2 linked regions of the Coturnix japonica genome follow. The protein of the gene in region 1 interacts with the protein of each later gene in a pairwise test. Links are inferred from orthologs where the notes say so. Each region holds a gene or a part of one and is shown on either strand. Other genes may lie near its edges.

Region 1 (4,456 bases):
AAGAAGAAATTTCAAATATATTTATATGTATTTTAAAAAAAATCAGCATCAGAAATATCAGTCTTTTGTGATTTGTTGATCCTTTCTTCAAATTCAATACCACAGTTCAATCCACACCTAAACTACCTTTCACTAGTAATCCTCAGCTGGAGGAACTTGATACAGTGCAAATCACCATCGTGGATGTAAAGACTCATACACAGATACATGATGAACACCATTGCCTTCCTATTACAAGAGAAAAACGTCCTATCAACCAGTGGTTTTGTAGCAAGACTGTCAAAACACCAAGGACTAACAGGGATCACCTCTCACCATGTCAGACTAAAACAACCAGCAGACAGACAAGGTTAAAACCACATGAGATCAGTGAGGCACACAGCTTGTCATCCCCACCAGGGAGCAGAAGCTTTGAGAATACACCAAACGGAGCACAGCCATACAGTCAGGTTAGCAATCGGCTGGCTGTGGGGGAGCAGAAATAACCACAGAATCACAGAATGACCTGGGTTGGAAGGATCATGTAGTTCCAACCCCCCTGCCTGGCAGGGCCACCAAACATACACCTTTACTAGATCAGGTTGCCCAGGGCCCTGTCCAACCTGGCCTTGAACACCTCCAAGGACGGGGCATCCACAACCTCCCTGGGCAGCCTGTTCCAGGGCCTAACCACTCTCCTAGTGAAGAACTTCCCCCTAACATCCAACCTAAATCTTCCCTCTTGTAACTTAAAACCATTTTCCCGTGTCCTGCTGTTGTCAGCCCTTTCGAAGAGTTTACTCCCCTCCTGGGTGTAAGTTCCCTTCAGGTATTGAAACCTGGAAACCAACCAAACTCTTTCTAATCCTGATTTCTAAGTGAAAACGCTTCCGTTTTCCTAACTTCTCATGAGGTGTAATCCACAACTTAAAAGCACGTGCATTTATTCACTTTAAAAGCGTGCTGCCTTCAGTTCTCCATGTAGGCATCTCTCCAGATGCCGGTCAGGCCCGCACCGCACAACCCCGGGCTGCTCTTCTTCCCCGATCTGCTCGCAGCACTGAGCACACACACAGCTCAATTTCCACACCAACTTCACACTTACCGACACCGCGTTTCACCCCTTATTCCCTACCGATGGTCCCTACCTACAGAGGCAGCGGCGTGCCCGTGGCAAGGGGCGGATGGCACCCGCTCCCAGCCAGGTTCAGCGACCGCTGCAGAGCCACGGCCGGGCGGCACAGGGACGGCATACCCCGCTCTCTGCCTGCTCCCCGGGGCCACCCCACCGGGCTCCTGCTGCCCCTGGTGCTGCTCACCCAGGCACACGAAGAGCACGGACTTTGCTTCCCCCGCCGCCATCTTCGCTCAGCCACGATAGCGCGACGCGGGCCTAATGCGCAGCCGCGCCGCCTGGCTTTACGGCTATAGGCGACCACGGGTTTTGCCTGTTTTAAGAAAACACAGCTGAGTCGAAAAAATAAATATATTAATAATAATAAGATAAATCAATTTTTATTGTTTTTTAAAGTTAAACCCTGAAAAACTACGCGGTGGTGATCACTGCGGGTAGGCAGGCGGTGGATGGCCGTCTCAGCCCCGCCCGCCTCACCTGGCGCAGGTGTGTGCCGCTCCGAGGGGCCGCCCCGGTGCTGGGCAGAGCGGGGCGAAGCCGGGGCCGGCAGCAGTGAGTATCCGTGGGGTCGGTGCCCATAGAGAGCCCATGGGATGGGTGCGGGGTCGGGAGGTGCCGGGTGGCCCTCAGGGTTGTGGCCGTCGATTGGGTGTCGAGGAGTTGGTGGTGTTTTTTGTTACGATTAAAGTGGTGAAGGATTGGAGCTGGCTGTCCAGAGGTGTCATTGTAGGTCTTCTATGTCTGAACTGCTCCCAAAGGTTTGACCTATTAGAGAAGGTACTGGGGAATCAGAATCACGACCTTCCATTATATAAAGGAGGGCTGTAAGAAAGAGGGGGTGAGGCTCTTTAGCAGGCTCTGTTGGGATAGGGCAAGGGGAAATGGTTTCAAACTAAAAGAGAGCAGATTTAGACTGGATGTAAGGAAAAAGAGTTTTACTGTAAGTGGTGAAACACTGGAGCAGGTTGCACAGAGAGGTGGTGGATGCCTTGTCTCTGGACACATCCACAATCAGGATGGACAGGGCTGTGAACAGCCTCACCTGGCTGTCGGTGTCCCCATTCACTGCGGGGGAGTTGGACTAGATTACTTTTATTGGGTCCCTTCTGATGTGAACTATGATTCTGTGCTTATAGGGAACAGAGATATATACAGAAAGGGGAAACAAGGGATAGGATGATCATAGGATGGCCTGGGTTGAAAAGGACCACAATGGTCATCTAGTTTCAACCCTCCTGCTATGTGCAGGGTCACTAGCCACTAGACCAGGCTGCCCAGAGCCAAATCTGGATGCTGTCCAGTTTGACTGTCAGTAGTGCCTTCTGCAGGAAATATCTGGAATGTATATTTTGTTAAGGTACCCAAATATATATATATATTTTTCTCCTGGATTGCTACTGTAACATATGGGGCAGTTGTGCAGTGCACATCCTGGGGGAAGGTGAGGGGCAGCTGTAGGCTACCAGGTGTTTGTTCCCTCTGTTCTTCTGTCCCTGGTGAGAAGTTAAACAGGATGGGGCTTGGGATTTTGTTCTTAAAAGCACAACTTTGTTTTAGTTAAAACTTTGTTGTGTAAAAGTTAGTGTGCTTGCTTAGCACCTTAGATTGCCTTGAAGTTTATTCTTAATTATTTAAAATAGGATTTGCAAAACTAAACTGCTATTCAGTTTAGGCCTTTCCTTTCTAGCATAGTGTGCAAAGTCTTGTGTTTAACATGAAGAGAAAAATGGCAGAGCTGAATTCCTAGCTCTGCTTTAGCTTTGGTTATGCTACTTACCTTGCTTGGTGGGCAGTGCCCAATCCCTCTGGTACTGACTGTTGACACATCAAACGTATTACAATAAGTGTGTTTGAAAGACTTGCAAACAGGGTTTCTGCTAGGCAGTTTCCTAAGGCTTGGATGGCACGGTGGATAAGCGTGGTGACGTTCCGCACAAAAGCCTGTGATTCTTGTTGCATTAATTCTTGGAAGATTTCACTTTTTAGTCTCAGACAGCCCCCAAAGTAACTCTACCTTTGGCACTTTTTGTGTCAGATATATATATATATATATATGTTGTGTCAATATAGCATTCCACTGTCTATATTCTTGAAAATGCAGATTTTTTACTGTCTTTGTATAAACTATCATTTCTTCATCACCTAAAAGGTGAATCTATTCATGTCTTGGGCTGCTTTAGCTTCATTTGAGGACAGTAGAATTGTTTTGTATATGTATGACTGGCCTTTAAGTTGGTGTTTAACACTTGGAACATAATTCTTTTTCTGGCCTTTTTCAGTGCCTGATCCTTCTGGATATTCTAAACTGAAAAGCTTGTTTTTGACTTGGTGTTGTAGTGCTCATGCAATGTCTCCAACTTTAGTGGCTAAAATTGATGATTTATTGATGCTAACTTTGCATGAGTACAACGTGTTCAGTGATGCTAAGAAGGGTGGGTTTTCTACTGTTGACGGATAATTTATTAGCCTCACATCAATCCTAAACTATAGTATTGAGGAATACTACAATGTACACAAGTGTTTTATAGAAGATGATAATTTATACAAACTTATTACTATCCACATACTGTGCATTTTCTTTCTATTCCAATGGTATATCTGTCTGGATGGCATTGCCTCATATTTCACATCTAAGCATTTACTCTGCTAAAACCACGTTATGAAACATAAACTCCCCTAGCAGCTTAGCTTTCTTCTGCTCCTGAGATGAGGAATAGACACCTTGACAGACCTGATGAGCAGTTGTCATGCTAATACATTTTGTTGCTTTTGCTTTCATTTTCCCTCTTGTATTTCTTGTCTGTTTGCCTTGAACGATTATTTGAAACATTAAATCTGTTTTGTTTTTAAAATGTTGGTCCAAGATCATCATGCATCTCAAATCTACAAACTTGAAGTAGCTTACTGTAACTGGTCACCCCATGCTGCGGGGTGACCTCATTGCAGCCTTTCAGTACCTGAAGGGAACTTATTTCCAGGAGGGGAGTAAACTCTTCGAAAGGGCTGATAATAGCAGGACAAGGGGCAATGGATTTAAGTTGAAAGAGGGTCGATTTAGGTTGGATGTTAGGGGGAAGTTCTTTACTAGGAGAGTGGTTAGGCCCTGGAACAGGCTGCCCAGGGAGGTTGTGGATGCCCCGTCCTTGGAGGTGTTCAAGACCAGGTTGGACGGGGCCCTGGGCAACCTGATCTAGTAAATGTGTATGTTTGGTGGCCCTGCCAGGCAGGGGGGTTGGAACTACATGATCCTTGAGGTCCCTTCCAACCTGGGTCATTCTATGATTCTATGATCTTTGTTCCAATTACGCACTTTTAGGAACACACTGAATGCCATCTAGCAAA
Region 2 (3,818 bases), on another chromosome or scaffold:
AAGGTTACAGCTGAAACTTGCTACTGCACTGCAGTTAGGAATGGCATCCAACTTCATTCTTCCTTTTCTGCAATGTACTGTACACCTTAGAAATTCTCTCGTCCGTATGCAGTTTCATGGTGATAGCAGGTATGAAGTCTTCCTATGTAAGGCAAGCCACAAACTTCAAGAGCTGTCTGCAGTAACGTGAGCAGCTTATAGGTGGCGCTCCTTGCCCAGACTTTTAAGGCTCTGCTGCTTTTCCTTCCCAGCGAGTGGGAGGAGATGAATAATGTAAGAGTGAACTTAACCTACTGACAGGCACTGATTTAAAACATTCAGTGGAAGGTAGAAAAACAACAACTGGTCAATAGTACAGTTATAAAAATGTGGGAGAGGAAAAAAATTATAAAAATTCAGTTCTAATTGGAGACTTGTATCAAAACCTTAGAAAACCAACAGGCAAAACATAAGTAAACATTATACACTTAAGCTCCTCCTCCCACCACAGTGATTGTGTAATTTCTGAAGATCTGGTATTCTGTTTGTTGGAGTGGTTGTGTTTGGTTTTTGTTGTTCTCCTCATGAGCCCACAAGATCTCTCAGTACAGGTCATAATGGAAGCAGCCTGTTTAAAGAGGGTGGCCCACAGTTTAAGTTGAAAAGTTAGAAATATTTTGTATTTGCTTTGCCAGAGTCCCATAGAATGCAGGGGCTGGCTAATGTCTATAAAGAGCCATGGGCAGCTCCGGGCAGCAGAGCTCAGGGACAGTTGTCCTCAGGAGTGGACTTCAGTTGAATTCCCCAGCGGTTCAGGACAGGCTTGTTGGGATGTTTAAACTGAATAACAGCTGTACAGTGATGTTTCCATCTTTCTAGGATAGTGCATACATTGTAATGGTTTTTATAAAGTTAATCCCTATAACGCAATTAAAAATCCAGTTTGTAGCTCATTAAAGCTTTGTGTGATCTTTTTGCACCAGTAGGTACTTGTTGCCATAATGGTTGGACCTCCTACCAACAGAACTGTAAGCCAAAACAAAAGTAAGCTGAACTATCTCAAGGTAAGTCTTGATTATTCTAGTTTGCACACTCTTCATCAACTGCTCAGCTGCAAGTGTTCTATCAACTAGAACTTTAAGATAGAACGATCTTGTATTATGTTGTGGTACCTGTGCATCCATGCTTCTGAAGCAATGACTCGCAGTAACAACTTCATGGTTTCTTCTTTTTTCCCCATACAGTACAAAAGGGATAGAATATTGTCAGCACTGCAGTGACATTTCTTACTCCTCCAGTCTGAAGTTAGCTGCTAATCAAGACTCATTTAACAACTCTGTCAGAAACAAAGTGTCACAAAATGGCATTTACTGCCAGAAGGTCCAGGCTACCTCAGTCACAGTCAGATGCTGTTGCTCAAGTCAAGCTGCTGCTTTTACTAAATGATTTTGTTTGAGTTTCTTTGAAGTAACCTATTGCAAGACATTTTTTTTTCCTTAAGGCTGTGACAGACCATTTATAATGATGCTTGGTATAGCTGGTACGTGCTAACAACCTGAAAGCTAACCCTGTGCCTGCTGAAAGCCAAAACCAAGCCTGTATAATATCCTTCGAGTTAGGGATAGGAATAGCGTTACTGAAGTATGTTCCAGTGCTTGAGTGGTAAATGAAATGTAGACTGAGTGAAGACAGGCTTTCCACTTACATAAAAGGGGGTGGAGGGGCAAATAGTTGAAATAGTACAGCTACACTGGGAGGGGAACTGAGAAAGTTGAGTAACTGCTGTCCATCACAACTCCTCCTGGGAAAGAAGGGTAGGGTGGTGCTTGACAAAGGGGGTAGTAGGAAAACTAAGGCTCTGTCTGGAACAGATTTTTGAGGTGGGCGGAAAGGTCTAGCATGGTTCAAACCAGTGTAAGTAAGTGCTATTAGTTAAGAGGAAAAATACTTATGTCTTTTCTGATTTCTCTTCATGAGCTGCTTGGGCTAAGAACGCAAGGATTTGCTTGAGTTTTCCCTCTTAACAGTTTAATTTGACATTTTTCTACTATAAGTTATCTAAGTCATAAGTGAATTCTTCTGCTAAAGTAGAAGCAGTAAAGAAACCTGAATATTGAACTTGATCTACATACCGACTGCTGCAATAATATATTAAAAACATCACTTTAAACAGTTCTTAAGGAAGCTCAAATAAGCTTACTTTATGCAGAGGCTGTGCATGATAAATGTAATACCAGATAGTAAACAGAATACTATTTCACTGGTGTTGCACCACACTATTTCCCTAGCTGGAGACCACTAAAAATTGCGCATGTATTTTGCTCTCAGAGCTTTTCCTGAAGCATGACTAACTACATGGTCACAAAAGACTAAAATCTTTTTTGACTTCAAGATACTAGTAAGACTGTCCAGGATAAGTAGTGCAAAACATAGATAGTCAGAATACATTGATGTCTTTGCTGAAAACGTTCTCTCCCAGACACAGGGAGTACAAAGACAGGCAACACTTCATGGAGTTGTTAAAATCTGAACAAAGTTTTTGGGAAATATCCCAGTTCTTCCTTGTATCTCTCCACTCATCCAGTCCTCGTCTACAGATTCCAGCTCTGTTATAAAATCTCCTGCCTGTAAAAGAAGGAGTAATGTGAGCCATTGCAGCTTTCCATGTAATATTATGGCATGCACTGTTCATGTTATTCAGAAGCAATTAATAGCAATCAAATAGCATGGTAGTTGGAGATGATCGCTCCTGTCAGGTAAACATAGTTTCAAAGAAATCTAACTGTCTCTTAGGGTAAATACTTGCCAAGGGTTGAAAAGCCACCAGTTTGTGGGAGGGAAAAAATAGTGCTGCTGGATAACTTCCTCAGTTGCTTGAGCCCTGTAGGTAGGTAGGTGTGTCACAGAGGTAGCCTAAAGGTTGCTGCCTCACTCACTGTTCACGTTCCTGCTCTGGTATGAGGACTTTTCTTCTTCAAACACCTCAAGTATTTTCTTTCAGTTTAGTCCCAGTATTTTCCACAGCTTGTAAACTTCCCTCTTTCCTTTGGAAACTTTCTCAAAAAAGGAATGTACTTGAAGCTCAGCGTGGCCTTGAAAATAAAGTTTATCTTCTATGTTTAATCCTTAGTCCTGCTTTCATCTTCCCATACCATACCCTTCATTCAAAGTATTGGCATAGCTCTAGCCTTTCTGCCAGTACCTCAGTTCCTCTTTTCTGTTTTAAAGAATCATCCACATCCTTCCCATAAGGCAAGCTGCTAATGCAGAAACTAATTATTTTCTCTTTCTAAAGTTCACAAAGTAACGTGTTCCACCTGATAAATGCAATCTTGGACCCGATGCAACTGTCTGCCGGTTCTTAGAAACTTGCTTTTGAGGACATTTACTTAAATGTGATGGTTTTTAATCTACAAGGACTCCATTTCTTTGTGCTTTTTCATATTATCTAGACATACAGCAAATACTTCATATTCCTCACACAGCAACTAAGGATCATGCTGCCAAACTTTTAGACTGACTTTTAGATTTTGCTGCACTAGGTCTCTGTTAAAGATATCCCTGCTGTAATGCTGCCACTTTATTATCACACCACCATGTTGCTGTCTTTCCTGTCAAAAAAGAGGCTCTTTTGACATTATTAACTGATCAGGAACTGAATGTACTACGAAATGAGGTGAGTTGGTCTGATCATACTTACTGGATTAGGGATGTCAGTGAAAGTCTACAGTTTCTGACTTCTTCTCTGTGCCTTCAGTAGAGATTTCACAAAGGGTAGGGATGAAAACTTTCTACAGTTGCTCTATATCAAATATGTTAAAATAATCACGTCTATTATC

The links.
Region 2: the proteins of SH3YL1 (region 1) and SH3D19 interact in binary tests that used the Homo sapiens proteins (3 or more experiments, as listed by UniProt). The link is inferred for Coturnix japonica from reciprocal best matches to the Homo sapiens genes SH3YL1 and SH3D19.

Annotation. Positions count from the first base shown.
Region 1 is NC_029518.1:83,919,899-83,924,354, reverse strand, and holds the start of SH3YL1 (SH3 domain-containing YSC84-like protein 1), read left to right. Parts: upstream 1-1,508; 5' UTR 1,509-1,563; coding exon 1,564-1,666; intron 1,667-4,456. Other genes in the region: ACP1 (low molecular weight phosphotyrosine protein phosphatase), read right to left, coding at 1,299-1,341.
Region 2 is NC_029519.1:29,300,222-29,304,039, forward strand, and holds part of SH3D19 (SH3 domain-containing protein 19), read right to left. Parts: intron 2,605-3,818; coding exon 2,488-2,604; 3' UTR 1-2,487. UniProt on the Homo sapiens protein: May play a role in regulating A disintegrin and metalloproteases (ADAMs) in the signaling of EGFR-ligand shedding. May be involved in suppression of Ras-induced cellular transformation and Ras-mediated activation of ELK1.